2 linked regions of the Caenorhabditis elegans genome follow. The protein of the gene in region 2 purifies or fractionates together with the protein of the main gene of each other region. This does not show direct contact. Each region holds a gene or a part of one and is shown on either strand. Other genes may lie near its edges. The genes, in order: F45F2.10 and T10G3.3.

Region 1 (8,556 bases), 5.0 Mb from region 2:
GAAGAATGGTTCCAGAATTTCTCGGCGATCGACGTTTCCGTCTCCAAAGCTAATTCTGAAATAAATTCAATTATTTTATGAAGGTTCCTCATATGATTAACATACGAAACAGATTCTCCAAGTAGTTTAATCGGTCGGCAGCCTTTTAAATCATCTTTGTATTCAACACGAACACCTCCACTTGCAATACGCTTCTTCTCTTTCGCAGCAATTCTTTCAGCAGTTGCAAGAGCATCAGTAACCATCGGAACTCGAACAATATGTGGGAAATTGGCAGGCATTGTAGTGTCAAATCGATTGTATTGACAAGGTATGAGGAAGAGAACCTGACAAATGTGAATATTTATAGTTTTAAGATAATTCGAAAAGAAAAAGACTTACCACTGGCTCTTCTTCGAATTCACTTCTCTCGATCACCATTTGGAATGATTTCTGAAAGAATTTCGAATAAAATTTATTTGTAGTATTTCAGAGTTATATAGAGTTATAGAGTTATAATAATTTCCAAAACTATTCTTAAAACAAAAAATTTAGACTAAATAGTTTTTTTTTTAATTTTCATACAAACCTTAACAAATGTACGATTTTGTACAACCACCAATCTATCTAGAATGTCTTGTCCGATGCGAACTTGATGAAGACCTGATTTTACAGAATGTACACCCAGCTTGACTCGTCCATCGGCGTCAATAATAATGGCTTCAACCCATGAAACAAACGAGTTGTTCAGAGCCCTCAAACGTTGATTGATAAATTCTCGTGCTTTGTACGAAATGCTTTTTGCTTGATAATCATGATATTCGGAGAGCTCTTTGTTCTGAAAAAATATTATGATTGCTTTTAATATCAATTTTAAATCTAGAAATTTATAGGTAAGTACTTCAAAAGTGTTGATATTTTTGATAAACATTTAAAAAAATACCGCTGCCTGTCGAGGTGTTCTTGGCTGAACATGATTCAGTGACAACGATCCTCCAATATCAGCTCCATGCCACATCAATTGTCGAGCAATCAGACTAGTGTGTCTTCGGATAGCTAATGCAACTGGAGATTTATGAAGATCATTCAGCTCATTTAGTGGAGCTCCGTTACGCAGAAGAACATCGACTTGGCACGGTGAACCTGTCATTGCAGCGAAATGAAGAAGTGTATTTCCACCAGAAAATTTGTGACTCAAATGTATATTCTTGTTGGCGGTCGTATGTATCAAGAAGTGAAGTATTGAGCATTTCCGATGCTTGTCTTCGTAACATGGTTTCTCTCCAGGACATGTTGAGGCAAGATGCATTAAAATTGAGCAGGCACGTTCCTCAGTCACATCGTCTTCAAACTTTTCGAGAAATAAATTAGTGCTCCAGTCAAGAGTTTGGGTCACAACATATGTGATACGAGCTTGACGAGAAAGAGAATCGAATCGTGGAAAACAATCACTGAATACATAGTTTTGTTTCCGACGAACGATGATTCGTTCAATTTCTCCAAATCGAAGAAGAACTTGTCGCAAATCGAGATCTCTCAGTGCAATAATCATATTCTTTTGAAATTCATCATCCGTATTTTCGATCATATTTTCAAGGGCTTTCTTGTGATCCATCATAATGGCAACATAGGTTTCATCTTGAGAAGTTTGATCCATGTCTGCATTGGAAACAAAATCACTCCGCCAATTGATTATTTTTGCTCCAGATTTCACGTAATCTGTGTATTGGTACTTCATAAATGGTTTTGCACCATTAATCGTCAAGGTGTGAGGCTCTGGATCTGGAATTCCCGATGCTGCTATACCGTATCCCATCCGATGAAGTGGTTTCAGTGCAGCTGGAAGGCCGGTGTAATTTCCACTGAAAAACAAAAATTATTTAAGATTATGAACAACTTGATTTCTTACATTGTATTAACGTTCCGTAAATATCTCATTTGAGAATTTTTATGTAGATCAGTGTAATGCATTGGAGGACCAAGTTCATCTTCATGGCGCAAATACGGAATGGCTACCGTATCCTGTCCGAGCATACTTTGAGCAGCTGCATTCGTTCCTCGAACCACCATTTCTCCATCTCGAACATTATCACCGGACCATTCATTGAAGTGATGAACATGAAGATTATTTCGCTCTTTTTCAACAACATATTCTATCGGATTTTTCGTGCGTTCTTTTTGACCTGGATAGATTGGCGCTGGTGCTCCGGAAATCTCGAATTCTTTCCTTTCGAGCTCTTTTCTTTGTTTCTTTGTCAATTGTTTTTGTTTGAAGTTGTTCTTCGCAGTCTTTCCATTTTGTTTTGAACTGCTACACGACGGCTGCAATTTTTTAAAATTAAGCTCTTTCTGACACCTGGTTCAAAAAATTATTTTCAATTCCTACCTGAGCAGGTTCTCTATTCGGATAGCTTCCAGAAGTTGATGGACCATCATCTCTTTCTTGATCCGAGATAGGAACTATGTGAGTGAATTCTGTGATTGGAACACCATGTACATTGTCGACAATTCGCACCGGTCTGTTCTTTGCATTTTCATCCATCAATTTCCGCATTTCTTCTGTTCTATCTCTAATTCTCACGGAGCAATTATTTCCCAAATCGGGGTGGCTGCTGCTGCTCCCTTGTACATTATCACCGCCAGTCATTGTACCTTTCTCGTGTTCTGAAATTTGGTTATGTTTATTCAGAAGAAATGGTAAAATTTGGAAAACGGAAATTTCCGAGGCGTCCATAGTGCGCAGAAAAAGCGAGGAGTTTTTCGTTTCGCTATTGATCAATTTCAAAAATTGGGCGTGATCAACCAATCAGAGCCTGCGAAATGTTAAGTTGAGCAATGTGAAAGCGAGTAAACTGTTCTCCGCACTATGGACGCCGCATGAAATTCTCGTTTTCAGCAAACTATTTGACAATTTTCGCGGTACCTCTTTTCCGAATTTTTTTTTCGAGGACTAATTTTCTTGATCTACTTCTACAAAAACAAGTTTCTTAAAGTTAATTTTTGTAGATCAAAAATAAATATTGCGCTGAAACAGGAGTTTGAATTGTCCGAAATTTTTTAAAAACTATCAATTGCGAAATCCCTCGCATTTCAAATATTTATTTCTGATGTTTTCTCATCGATGAAATCAATCGCTTTTGAGAGTGAACAGCTTCCTCCAAACAATAAATCCTACCAAATCCAATGGATCCGTCGCTATCTCCAGATTGCGATGATTGATCCGATGAGCTTCCTGATGTTTCGGAAGATGAAGAAGACGAGCCTCCACTTGAATCCACAATCGAATTCTTTCTTTTAATGACGATTTCTACTTCTTGTCCACTACTTCCTTCCTTTTTTTGCTTAGATTTTTTATCCTTTGGCATTGAACCCAACTGAAAAGACTGTTGCTTTTGACAGCCTCTGCAACAAATTGAGTGTGTGTGAGCTAAACTGTGATATACGAAATAAATATGGATGTGCGTATATGAGTGATAGAACCAGAAGACACTCACACTTCGCTCACAGACAAACACTCACCGAAGAGAAAAAGAGAATTAAAAATGGAGAGCGTGGAGGGGACGGCACGTTCGAAACGAGACGAGGGGCCCGCTAACAGAAGTGTAGGAAGAAAACAACTCACGGTGGCAGATAGAAATAACGAGAGATGGCGCCAGAGAAGTAGAGTGCAAATTTGCGACAAGATTTGGGGTGTGAGATTATTGAGCAACAATTTTATGATCCAACATTCAGAATAACTCGATTTGTTTTTCCATAAATTCAAAAAAGGCAATTTTTTAATTAATCTGACCCTCGTTCGGGAGGTCTAGAAATAACGACCTAAAAATACAAATTAAACGATTTTAAAGTTTCAGTTCAGTATATCCATTGAAATTTTAAATCATAAATTATTCAGTTTTTGAAATTTACCTTGCCTTTTTTTAATTTTGTGATTTCTATCTTTTTAATAAATATAATAGGACTATCGAAATCCAAACGAGCACAAAAAAAAATTTATAAGCAAAAAAGCATGAAGAAAATCTTATTCGTGTAGATCACAACGGTAGATAAAAAGGAAAAAAAGGACAAATTTTGTGACTTTGTCAAGGGAATGAAAGAAACAGGAACAAATGGAATTTGTAAAATTGGGAAAGCGAAGACAGAGAAAAAACAAAAGCATAAATACAAAGATTTTCAGAACATTTCCGTCGCTCACCGACAAAAAATCGTTCCAGACACGACGACCATTGTGCAGCCGGCTCTGCACAAACGTCGAATTCGACGAGCAATTGCGGACAAAGGAACGACTCTTTGTCGATTTACGAGAGATGAGAAGTTTCTTGAAATGTTATTTTAAAAATTACAGAAATTAAGGAAAAAATTAATGAAAAGAATTGGAAGATTAAATAATCATTGTCTTTCTAGACATCAGTTACTTTTTCGACGATAATAATATCGTTTTTGATTTGTTTTGCGTGGACTCGAGAAGAATCAGTTCGAGAAGGACGTTCTGGAGTAGACTGAAGATTTTTTTGGAAATGGATTGGCGAGATTGGAGAGGATAGTGACATCGGTGGTAATGGGATAGGCAACATCATCGGCATTGGTGGGAGCGAGTGAGGCTCACGGCTGGAAATATAAAATTAGTATTTAGCGATATTGAATTAGTAAATTACATGAATACCTGAAATGTGGTGATGGTGGAAAGAAGAATTGCGGTGGAGGAATAGGAGGACGACGGGCAATTCTCGGAGGAATGAATGTAGAAAGTGTTTTTCTGAAATAACGATTTAATATTCGATAACTACTTAAATTCTTACTCTTTATAATCATAATCTCTCGGAAATGTTTCATGTTTAAAATCAAGTCCTTCATTTTTCCTTTTTTTCTTCATTGAAAAAGTCGAAGATGTGAGCATACTTGCAACAATTCTTATCTTCCTCGTTTCCCTTCGTTCCTTATTTTTTCTTCTATTCAACGTTTGCACTAGCTTCGCACTCTCAGAAGCGTCTGAATATTCCCCTTCCGAGGATGATTGTGATGACATCTCAGTCCAGTGAGCTGCTTCTTCTGACTCAATGTCTCGGTACGGTTCAATTTTCGGAGGTAAATTCGGATATCGATCAGGAATCTTGACACCCATCTCTAAAAGAACCGAACCAGCGAGAGCATAAGTCAAATCAATGTATTGGTGAGGAGCCAATGTTCTGATCATTTCAATGTAGATGTGAGGTGGAGGAAGTGGTTGAAAATCAGCGGGACAAAAACGTTGGGCTCGTCTTTCCAATGAAGACGTGCTCGGAGACTTTGCCTGAAAATGATAATTACGATATCGAATTTCTGAATAACCTTACGGTTTTCGCTTGAGCTGCTCTTTTGACTTCGTCGAACGCATTGAACGATACGGCGTTACTTGCAGCAATCATCATGGAAGGAAGAGGTGGTGGTGGAAATGGAGGAAAAGCTCCCCGTTCACCGCGCTTATATTCTAACTTGAGCATTAGAAGCCTGTGATACCACTCCTTATGAGAATCAATTTCGTTTGGTGTGACGACTGGACGAAATTCACACTTTTCCTCATTTTCACCTTCATTTTCTCCACATTTCTGTATTCCAGACTTCTCATTCTTTTCAATTTCCAATTCTGAGCTTTCTTTCAGAAACTCTGGTGTCTTGAGCTCCAATCGTATTTTTCCCCATTGTAGCCTCTTGCTGAAAGAAATATTTTATCAGAATTAGCTAAAAGGTTTTTTTTTAAATGTCTCTTACAAAAAATTTTCATCGGAAGATTGTGGTGATGATTTTAGCGATGAATACCCTGAAGTATCTTCGGTGTCCCTAAAAAAAAATTATTTGCACTGATTAGTAAATTATCTTACATGTCAGTTATGTTAATATCAGTTGTAGTGTTTTCATGCGGTAGACATCGATTTTGGACTGAATGTTCCTTATTAGGTCATGCGGAGAGATCTGAAAATAAATATATTTACTTTGATTGATTATTAACACATGACTGAAATGTTAATTGGTGGTTTGATCTTCGGAAAGTTTACAATACACAAGTTCGGCTCAAAACAAATATTTGAGTGGTTACAGTTTACAACATTGAAACATGAGGAACTGGAATAATTTTGAAAATTTTGATTAAAAATGACCAAAAAGAAATAAAATAAATATTCCGTGGAAAATTAATCAATGAAAAACCAAAAAAAATCCACTAAATTCGAAAAAATTCGGAAGAAAACACTCTGATGATGACAAGTGAAACAAAATTGTTTTCCAAGCGTCGTCAGAGGTACTGTGTTCCGTGCGAGACCTGCGTTTAAATTTTTCTACTGTGCCTTTACTATTACCGTAATTTTTCAAATTACAAAGTACAAACCATCAAAGAACGTGAATTAAACTCGAAATTATACGAAATTCCGACTGCTATTTGTTGATTGCAAACATAAATAGACAATTCCCACAAATGGACAACACGTTTTTTTTCTGCCCGACAGCAATGTTTGAGCGTTTGATACCCCTCATGTAGTACTGTAGCTCATTTTAGGGTATAAATACACATTTCTGATCGCAGTTAGAAAGTCATAATCGACATGGTTGTTCGCACCACAAGCAAAAATGAATTGGCGAGAAAAGGTAAGTCACAGTTTTTGTGCTGATCAGCTCTCGAGAGGGTACACCGAACTTTCAACATCTTGTATGTTCTTCGTAGTACACTTATCCCATTCATCCTTTGTTCGGGATACATCTCATATCTCGTGTACAATACATTGTAGTTTTTGAAATTTCTGGCTGTAACTTTAACCATTTTTTTTTCAATTTCTTGCGAATATGGACAACAATTATAACTCTGATGTACATGGTATGTAAGAATATTCAAGTAAAAATACTATTTACTCTCTAAATTCAATTTATCATCAATTCTAGAACCTCTCCGAGAAAAAGAATCAATTGTCAGTGTTGCGAGTACATCAACAGCCCCACTTGATCATGTCACAGTTCCAAATGCTCTTCCATCACCAACTGAATCACTGTTGGAACATCCACAGTGGATTCGAAATCCGAAAGCTTTACGTTTTCTAGTTGGATTACTCACAAGTATGTATGTACTTCTTCTAACCATCGTATCTTGTCTCATTTCTATCTCATCTGCCTGGAGCTCGCCAGATCTATGGCTAGCTGAAACGGTAGGGATTCATAAAGGCCGGAGAGGAAGGAAAAGTCATTTTTTCAGATTTTCTCACTATTGATGTATCTTATTGCAATCTTGTTCTTCATGTACACGTATTTGATGATTATTTATCCAAAACCGATTAACATGTTGATCATGATCTTGAATCGAAAAACTTCATTGGTGCCAAGACCAGATGTGAGTTTTTATATTTTGATATCTATGAATGTTTTTCTTAGAAAACTAAACAAAAATCCTTAAGTTTTCTTCGGCATGTCTTACAATGTATTCGACTCTATTTAATGACCAAAACGTCTAATTTATGATTGAGTAGTTGAATAGTAAACACCTGTCTACTTATGTACCTTTAAAGCGGCCTATGCCTGCCTCGTGTCTACACGAGTGACTCTCTATGTTTCCAAAGTTGACTATCATTTCAAGTTTCAATTGAATTTTTAAACAATCTAATTGAAATGGGAAATGAGTAAACCAAATTTTAAGCTGTGAAAGTAGGCGCTAGGTTCTAAAACTTCAAATCCGCTCTCAATAACTCGACTTCCCAATTTTTAGAGATGGCTTCTTTCCGACCCAATACATAATGGAGAAGGAGCTGGCACCCTATACTTACGACTTGGAGCCATTTGTAAGTTACTATATTTTTCAATTCCTGTTTCCACAAAATAAATTTTTTCAGTCTTCGGAACACTTGGAAGTGTTCTTTGGGGATGTGAAATCTTCTTGTGTTTCTCTGGTGAATGTGTTCATCGGTTGGTCGTTGCCAAGCATATTGCGGCGATAATATTCACATTTCTACAAATGCATTTCATAGTTTGTAATTCAAAAATCACATTTCATCGATCGAATATTCTCGCAAGTTTTGGAATGATGCATTGTGTAGCTGTAAATTTATGGACATGGTTTTCCATGTGTCTTGTGAAAGCGGTAAGTATGGAGTCTCTAAAGCAATTTAAATATTAATTTTCAGCAAGTCAAAAAGCTTAAAAAGCAAAAGAAAGAGCTGGAATATCATAGTTCCTCATCATCTTCTTCTGATTCTTCTTCCTCTTCCGAAGAAATACTCGAACCGGAATCTTCTACATTATTGGAGAACCTTATCGAAGTAGTTTTAGAAAAGTTAAAGCCTGGAAAAGGAACAACATATACAAGCACTCCATATCCTTACACCAATTCATCCAACACAACATCATTGCTCCGAATGCAATCAATGGTTCGTCTCGGTGACTTTTCAAGTTTTCTGCTCACTTGTCTCGTTGAATATTCTCTTATTGGAGCAGCTATCTGCTTCATTATTTGGAAATATATGGGAGCGACAAATATTGAAATGAAAGTTGATAAAAAGAAGAAGAAGCTAAGAATGGATTGTCATAACACAACAATCGGTCTATTCCTTGGAATATTTTTCA
Region 2 (8,556 bases):
TGAAGTTTCCGCATCAGTGAATTTTAAGAAAAATATAATTTCAAATTTCAAAAAAAAAAACAACTCTTTAAAATCTGAAAGTTGAAAACTCAAAAGACCATTGAGACCTCCGGAATAATGAAACCCAACATTTACACGTTTCTTTAAACTTTCTAGAGGAAAAGATAATTAGGTTTCTGACCAAGCTGCCCTAAAAGAAATTTAATCAGATTTATTTGGAAATAAGGGTATAGCCGGTACTTAAATGTAATATACGGGAAAACGTGGATTCAGGGAAACGAAACGTAGGAAAATGAAATTCAAATTGATAACTAAAAAATTAGGTTTTACACCTTCACGCAAAAAGCTGAACTTTGATTAGCAGACATGTTTCAAGATTAGTTTCCTTTTAAATTTATATAATAAGAACGTAATGTTTCATGATTTAAACTCAGTTTCAGCTGTTAAACAACGGAAATAATACTTTTTTAATTGCGTAATAAGTTTATAGTTAACTTCCAAAAATAGTCACCACCCCACTAAGGCTTCAGAACCAAGGACTGCCAATTTTTTAATAGGAAAGTGGGCAAGTTAAAAGGAATGTGTCTGATTGCAGGTAATCTTCTACTAATAAGTTCATTTATTTCAATATTTTTGACTTAAAAAAAAACAAAGCATCAATTCAAAACGTCTCTTTTCAAAGTTTCTTATTTTAAAATTAAACGTATAATATGTACATGAATAGACCGTGCCAATATCCAATAAAACAACCCCAGAAGTTATTATTTATTAGGTCGGAAAACATTTCGTGCCGCGTGATTTGGGAATTGTGTTTTATGAGTTTTGATAATATTGCAGAACAAATATTCACGACCTAGACTTCCAGAAAAACTATTGAGATGCATTGTAACTATAGAATGTTTCTGATTTATTTTCAGTAGGTTTCAATTTGGAATTGTAAGAAAACTTCCTCAAGGCAAGAAGAAACGTAAAAAAATATTTATTTATGGATGAAAACTAAATGTTTTTCAAAAAAATGGGATCTAGGCACCCGTGGGAAAGATGCAAAATTCAGAAATCAGGAATTGTTTCTAGTTTATTCTAACTTCGTAGTACACTCTATTTTCCTCCTTTTTCCTGTAGCATTTGTAGGTCTGAAAGTATTTTATTATTGTTTAAAGAATAAAACTATTCAAACCTTCTTTCCAATTGTCAGCTCATTATCCACATTAATAATAGTCTTATCGTCCACAATGCAGTTCAAGATTACTGTAGCACCTTCGTCTGTGCATTTTTTCGTGAAAATTCCGTCTGATACCCAGCTGAAAAAATGTTATGGGATTTTTGAAACAAGGAAACAAACTTACATATCTCCAGACTTCCTATTTTCTCCTTCAAAATCGCAGGTTGTCTCTGACGTCTCCATCATTTGTTCGGCAGCTGGAACTTCTTGCACAGGATCTGCAGGTTTTGGAGCAAGAAGATCATCGACATCCATTGCTCCAAAGTTCTTAAACATTGGACCAAGAATTTCGACGGGACTCAACTGAAATCGAATTCTGGTTAGGAAGAGTGTGATTTTTGTGCACAACTTGCACAAAAATCGGGATGAGTCTAATTATATTTATTGATTTTTTTCTTCTCAATAAATGAATATATATATATAACTTTGGCAACTAATATTTTTCCAATTAAAAACCAGGTTGGAGCAGTAAAACAAATCTCAAAAGAAAACTGTTTGAGCTGACTTTGGCTGATTCTAAAACTAGATCTATGCGATTTATATTAAGGTGAAGTATACAGTTTTCTATGTAAGAAAAAAAGCGGTCGAGAAGCTCTTCGAACTAGAAAAAAACTATAATAAACTTCTGTAGGTCAACAAAATTTCATATTGACATTTTCAGGCTCAATGCTTTCCTAGTTTTCAGACTTACCTAGAGGTGGCCTTTGAAGTTATAACATTTTGAATTAAAAAATTTACCATCAATCTTCAAATACTAAAACTTACCGTGGTTGCCCTAGTAACTGTATTTTGTTGTGGAGCAGCATCTCTGTGAAGTGAAACTTTTCCATTCGAATCCATGACGCATCTGAAAATATATTATATTATTTTTGCCGTTATTTTTTGGATCGAAACTTACTCATACTTGATTCCACTCAAAACAAGTGATCCATTAAGTGGTACCGGAATTCCTGAATCCGAAATGCAATCAGATATTTGAACTCCTTTAGCCGTACATTTTGCCATAAAACTCTTCTCGAAAACCCATGTATCTCCAATTGAATGGTCTCCACAACTCTTCTTTCTCTTGATATTTAATGTTCTTCTGATTTCAACAGTTCCATCTTTCTCTTTCAAACATTCGTATTTCTAAAACAAAAAAAATTATAAAAATTAAACTAGTTTTCTGTACGTTTTGTCTTTCAAAAGTCATTTTTGCTATTTCTATCTGTTAATCATCATTTATTGTGTCTCCCACTAGTGAACTGTCATAACTGGTTTGCAGTTATCATTTCAAATTGAACTAAATTAAGGGTTGGGCACCGGTCAAAAATAGTTGAGGTGATTGTAAAAGAAGAAAGGAATGTTAGTGACTTTGATACTGGTCAGTAGTAAAACCAGTACGTGAACCTGATCACAAACCGTATTTCCTTCATGAACTGTCTGACCGGGTAACACGTGGACACCTTCATCAGTTTTGCAACCAATTACTGTAGTCTTCCAACCATTTTTAGTGATATCACATCGAAGTACGAAGGTTGAACGGGCTATCTGAAAAAAAAAATTCGTTGATTTGAAAACAACAGATCACAAAAACGTTTAGTTTGTCCAAAGATTGTTTTTCACCACAAACAAGTTACATTTTCCCAGTGAAACCGGTAAAAAAGAATTTCAGAGTAATTAAGCAGTTACTGCAAGATACTTTTGGAGGTATATAGAAGGTAACAAAAATGATTGACTGCTTGTTAAAAGTATTCACGAAATCTGTTGGTAATTATGTGGCAAAGTACGGAAAACGATAGCTTTTTTGATTCCGTTGAAAACTAAACTGTAACAAAATCGCATACTTTTCTTTAATGCAGAAATAAATGGCAAAAGTTCCGTAAGTGATTTGAAATTTGGTTTCAAAATAGCGTTAATATAAAGAGTGTACAAAATTATTTTAAAATTCGAGTATCGAGGTTGACAAGGTTGTTTAAACATGCTCAAACTGAGCAGGAAAAACCGAGTCTCAGCATTTTCTTAGGTTAACTTTTGAAACATAGGAAAAATTTTACCATTTTGCAGTTTTTGATAACTTTAAGGCACTGGTACATACTTGGACCATCACAATATCTACATTGAAGTCGATAAAAATTGGCTCGAGGCGCTGTTGCCACAAAATTTGTCAAAAATCGTGTTTTAGACATTTAAAACTGAAGAAAAAAATTCTGCCACACAATATTTGAATAGCATCGAACATTTATTTTAAACACTGAATAATACATAAAATATCTCACCCAAGTATCTCCATTCTTATATTTTTCACCCTTGTGAACACATCCATTAACTACAGCTGTTGAGAGAAGAAGAAGTGGTAGTAACATCTGAAAGTTTGGATTTCAGATATTTCTTTATTTCCAGATAGAACCAAAGTTTTAGAAACCTAAAAAAGACTGGTGGAATAAAACATGACTAATGCGACAAGTTAGTTAATGAAACAAAATGAAAGTGAATGAAGAAGTTAAATTAGATTTTGAACAGTATTCGGTAACTAGTGAGAAGATGTGTAACATTTAAATAAAAAAGGTCACCTAACACACAAAATATGTTCCCATTCAACCCCTTCTCCATGGATAAAAAGCGATGAATAAAAGAGATAAAGATCAGAGAATTCAATGATAACAAATTTATTCGAAAAAGTGAGTGATGGAGAAAAAGAAGAGAAATTGACGTCTTCTTTCATTTTTTTTTAACCTAACCTCTGTGTGTATTACTTGTCCTTGATCGTCCGAAACGACAGAAGACGTTGAAATGTGGGCGGAGCTTCGGGAGATGCTGCTGCAGAAGATGTTATGACGTCATCAATAAGGTGAAGTCTATGTAGTTGCAGATATTTTGATTTTATCTCGGAGAAGATGATGACCGATGAGATGAAGAGCGGAAGAGATATGAAGGGAGGATCCCCCTTATTGAAATGTTTTCCTAGAATATGACTTAGATATTCAGCAGAATTGATATTAAATAATGAAAAATAGGCATATTATTTTTGCTAAAAAAGGTGCAATGTCCGGTCTCGGCACGAGCGATTTTTTTTAATCCAAAAAAAATGTTTCTTTAAGGGGTACTGTAGCTCCCAACTCCGTTTCGTTTCTCAAAAATCAATATAGAAAAACAGTTTTAAAAAACCATTTGCATACAACAACGAGAGATTTCGCCAATAGCGGTCGTTTCGAGAGTGGAAAAAATTGCTCTTCACTCATTTTATGAGTGGCCGAGATTTCATATATATATATATATATATATATATATATATATATATATATATCACGGCCATGTAGTAAGAACCTTGCTGTGGGATTAGGACAAAGATCGCAAAATTTCTCATGAAAGTCATCAAATCAAATCAAGGTAATATAACAATTTACATTCTAGGCTTCAAAACAACCTGGCGTGAAAACTGAGTTAAATTGCTGGCCTAGTTTTTTCTAGGCCACGTAAAAACCAGACCCGTGTCACAACGAGCCTAGTGGCTTTTCTTTTTATTAGGCATTCTCTCGAAACTCACCGAAAACGATCATATACGAGTTATCAACAGGCCCTAATTCAGATATTTGAATGCGATTTTTTTTCGTAAAATCAAAGTACATATTCACATTAGGTATATTTCTGTAATCTGACCCAACTCCCGATATCCGCTATGTCAGGACTTCCGATCACTCCCTAAAAGATCTCAAACATCCCGTGCATCTTCTTCTTCTTCTCCTCATTTTCCTGCAGCATGTTTGATTGATTATCTCATCGTTTGCAAAAATAAACACTAGTAGTAATCAATATAAATTCATCAATAGCACATAGAAAGAAAATGACTAAAATGGCAATGTATCACACAATGAACTAGGATCGGGATTGGTAAAACTGAAACTCGTGAGTGTCTTTTTGATTGGGGGCGGTCTCGTGAAATGGCACATAACTCTGTATATACGGGCAGGGATTGGGAGATGGATTCAATATGATTAATAAATATAAGTGTACTTGTATATAAATTAGGGCATTTGATAATTTACAAACATAGATCATAATCAGATCATTGAATTTAAATTTTAAAATTATAAATTAATAAAATCATTTCTGGGAATCAGTGAAGCACGTGTTGCAGGCTCGGACTGGATTCTTGGCACTCGCAATTCGGACTGATTTTGAACTGCATGGATTGCAATAAATCTTTCCACAAACTCGGCAATGATGCTTTCGAACTGTCAGAGAAAACACCTTTCCACATTCGGTACAATTAATTGCTTCTGCATCGTCAAGCCATTTCCGAGAACTGTAACGGTCGGCATCAATCTGTAATTTTTTAGAATTGAACAGGATTCTACTCCTTCATGAATACTGTCAATGGCGAGTTATTTTATTAGGTTTGAAAAAAGGAAGATGATTTTGGCGATTTTCAACTCTTTCTAATCTCCTCGTTTGAATTACCGCACTTTTTCCTCTAATCTCCACCCATAAAAACGGGTCGAACTTTAGCTTTTTTCCATTTTTACGAAAATGATTCTTTTTTGTGTTGTTTTTATATTTTTAATGAAAAAAGAGGTCCTAAATATTCAAAATTATTCTTCAAACATTTTGAAAATCGTATCGAATCCGACAAAATTTAATCGTTCGCGGAACTTTACAAGAAAATGTTTTTTTTTTTAATATTTTCGAAAGGCAAAAATTATATGCTAAAAATTACCTGCAGTGACTGATTGGCTCTTCCAAGTTCATGCATGGCTGAAAGAGCATCATCAAATCTTCTCTTATTCTCTTGTGATCTCTCTTTCTCGTATTCAATGTCACTTTCACTGCCAAGACACCGCTCGATTAGCATATCTTTCTCTGCTTGCCACATTGTTTCAGCTTTTTTCAATTCTAAAAAATTTCAAAATGTTATTTATCACTTGAAATATTTAAACTTGCCATCAAATTCTTCTTTCAATTTCTGCAACTCATCAAGTTTCTCTTGTTCGATATTTCTGACTGCAGCCAAATCAGCTTCAAGAGATTCAACGACTCGTTCTCTTTGAGTCAATCTGCTCTCTAATTCTTCGATTCTTGAATGATTCACCTTTTCAAGGCTATCAATTCTTTCCATGAGCCGTTCAATTTCTTCAGTTTTATCATTTATTTCTTTCGAAAGTGTCTGTTGAACGTCGGCGAACATGGCTTCAAATTGTGTTTTGCTGGATGTCATCTGGAATTTATATTTAATGGTGGACAAGAGTCATTTTGACATTTTGATAGAAAATGAATGAACTGCAATGACCTTATGAACAATTTCTAAATGTTTTTTCAAATGATTTTTCAACTTTGCAAAAACAAAAAAGGTTTTCTTTTGTTTTTGAAAAATTGAAAAAAAATTAAGTTTTAGAATTTTTTTATTTAACATTTATAATTGGATGTTTTAATCGAATTTTTTAATAAAAAAAAACGATTTAAAAAAGCGTGCAAGTTTCTTAAGAATTCGTTTCCTATTTTTTAGTTATGTACAAAAAAAATCTAAACGAACCCTTGCAATCGTAGTTTCCTTCTCTTGAATCTCCTTCTGCAACTTTTCCAATTCTTCTTGTTTCTGGCTCTGTGTTCCAGTGAAAACGACAAGCTTCTCAGTTTCTTCTGCTTTTTCTGCTTCTAATCGTTCGATCGTTCTCTTTCCACTGGCCATTTCTTTCTCAAACTCTTCAATTCTAGAATTGAAAGATTCGATGTGCGAGATTTTTGAAACTAGCTCATCTTCCACGACACGTTGCGTAGTTTTCAGAGACTCAATTTCCTGCAAAATAATAATTTTAAAAAAAATCAATTTCTGAACTATCTTACGTTATCTTTGGTTTCTAATGCTTCTTGAATCGACTGAATTGTGGATTCCCTTTCTTCAATATCTTTTTCAAGTCTTGACTTTTCCGTAATCATTCTCTCCAAATTTTCAGATCCTTTTTCTTCGGCATGCCTACGACTTTCTTCAATGGATTGAATTTTGCTATTGAGATTTTCACATTCTGTTCGAAGAGACTCTGATGTTGCAGTCAATTCATCACGCTCTTGAGTCTAAAAAACATTTGTTTAACTGATTCAAATTGAGGATTATCTTACAGTAGCTGTGACAGCTGATTTCAATTTTTCTATTTCTTGTGTCTTTTCTTCTTCTGAACGAATAAGCCGTTCGACTTCTGTTTTCAATTCCTCAAGCTGAGATTTGACCGAGATGAGCTGATTTTTTTCTTCGCCAGATGTCTCTTTTTCTTTCATCAACTGTTCTTGAACTGATTTCAATGTTGAAGAAGCTTCTTCATTGTCTTCTTGATTTCTAAGCATCTGAGCCTCGAATTCGTCTCGTTTCGTTTTCCAATGAGCCTCCTTATCACGCATCTCCGCCATTAGATTCTCGACTTCTTGTTGTTTTTCGGAAATCTCGTTGCTCACCTGAATTACATACTAAAAAGGCCGACACACTATGGATTGTAAAGCTCAAATAGGTAAACAGGGTTAGCGAAAGCTCGTCAAATTGGTAGTTAAAAAATAATAACGGACAAGACGGGACGTTATCTAGGGCGATAGAAAAGGAGTTGTGATTGATATTTGGATAGGATCACACTTGGGGAACGTGCTTGCTTTGGACCATTTTTTCCAAAAACTTTTTTTTGCAATTTTCCGCTTGTTATTACCGTTTTTCGATTTTTTGACAAAAACGAAACATCGAAAATTTTCGTTTTTTTTTCAATTTTTCGACTTCCAATTCTCCGATATTTAGAAAAAATTTTTCGGTTTTTTTTTTAAAGTTAGCTTTAAATTTTGGTCATTGTTCTTTTTTTTGAAGAAAATTTATGTTTTTTCTCGTCAAAATAAACAAAATAAGATTTAAAAGATCATATTTTTTAGTTAATTTTCGGAATGTTTTTTTTTTCGGAAAATCTTAACTTTTTTGTATTTCGATTTTTAAAAGGGATCTTTGGTACAATTATTTTTAAAAACTTTTTTTCAATTTTCCGGATGATATTACTCGTTCGCGAGCTTTTGTGTCAAACTTGCGGTATCCCGATCTCGACACGAAAATTTTTTGTTAAAGTAGTTTCAAACTTTTGTTGCTACGTAATTTTCATTGAGTTTTCATATTTTTTCTCACAATTTGCTACATTTTTTGTTAAGTTTTTTTTTTGTTATACTTGCGGTTTTTTCAAAACAAGTAGATTTTTTATCGAAAAATTATGAAAACAGTAAAAATTTCGCAACAACAAATGTTTGAAAATACGGTACTCTTAACAAAATTTGTCGTTTTCACAGTCTCCTCCATCAAATATTTTGAGATATTTTTGGTTCAAAAATTGCGTCTAAGT

Evidence for each region.
Region 1: the proteins of T10G3.3 (region 2) and F45F2.10 fractionate together in Caenorhabditis elegans (co-fractionation; one large-scale study listed by BioGRID). This does not show direct contact.

What each region holds. Positions count from the first base shown.
Region 1 is NC_003283.11:8,514,967-8,523,522, forward strand, and holds the start of F45F2.10 (ANK_REP_REGION domain-containing protein), read right to left. Parts: upstream 3,799-8,556; 5' UTR 3,602-3,798; intron 3,382-3,601; 5' UTR 3,345-3,381; coding exon 3,155-3,344; intron 2,644-3,154; coding exon 2,366-2,643; intron 2,302-2,365; coding exon 1,889-2,301; intron 1,842-1,888; coding exon 923-1,841; intron 818-922; coding exon 569-817; intron 433-568; coding exon 382-432; intron 327-381; coding exon 106-326; intron 56-105; coding exon 1-55. Other genes in the region: F45F2.11 (Protein kinase domain-containing protein), read right to left, coding at 4,380-4,587, 4,643-4,735, 4,779-5,269, 5,313-5,670, 5,728-5,796, 5,838-5,839; otpl-7 (Otopetrin-2), read left to right, coding at 6,555-6,597, 6,889-7,148, 7,196-7,330, 7,703-7,775, 7,827-8,074, 8,118-8,556.
Region 2 is NC_003283.11:13,486,060-13,494,615, forward strand, and holds T10G3.3 (Abnormal cell migration protein 18-like fibronectin type I domain-containing protein), read right to left. Parts: upstream 3,568-8,556; coding exon 3,481-3,567; intron 2,753-3,480; coding exon 2,624-2,752; intron 2,351-2,623; coding exon 2,121-2,350; intron 2,070-2,120; coding exon 1,988-2,069; intron 1,526-1,987; coding exon 1,347-1,525; intron 1,302-1,346; coding exon 1,178-1,301; intron 1,134-1,177; coding exon 1,071-1,133; 3' UTR 967-1,070; downstream 1-966. Other genes in the region: eea-1 (FYVE-type domain-containing protein), read right to left, coding at 5,306-5,527, 5,919-6,094, 6,143-6,416, 6,732-6,995, 7,043-7,270, 7,316-7,645.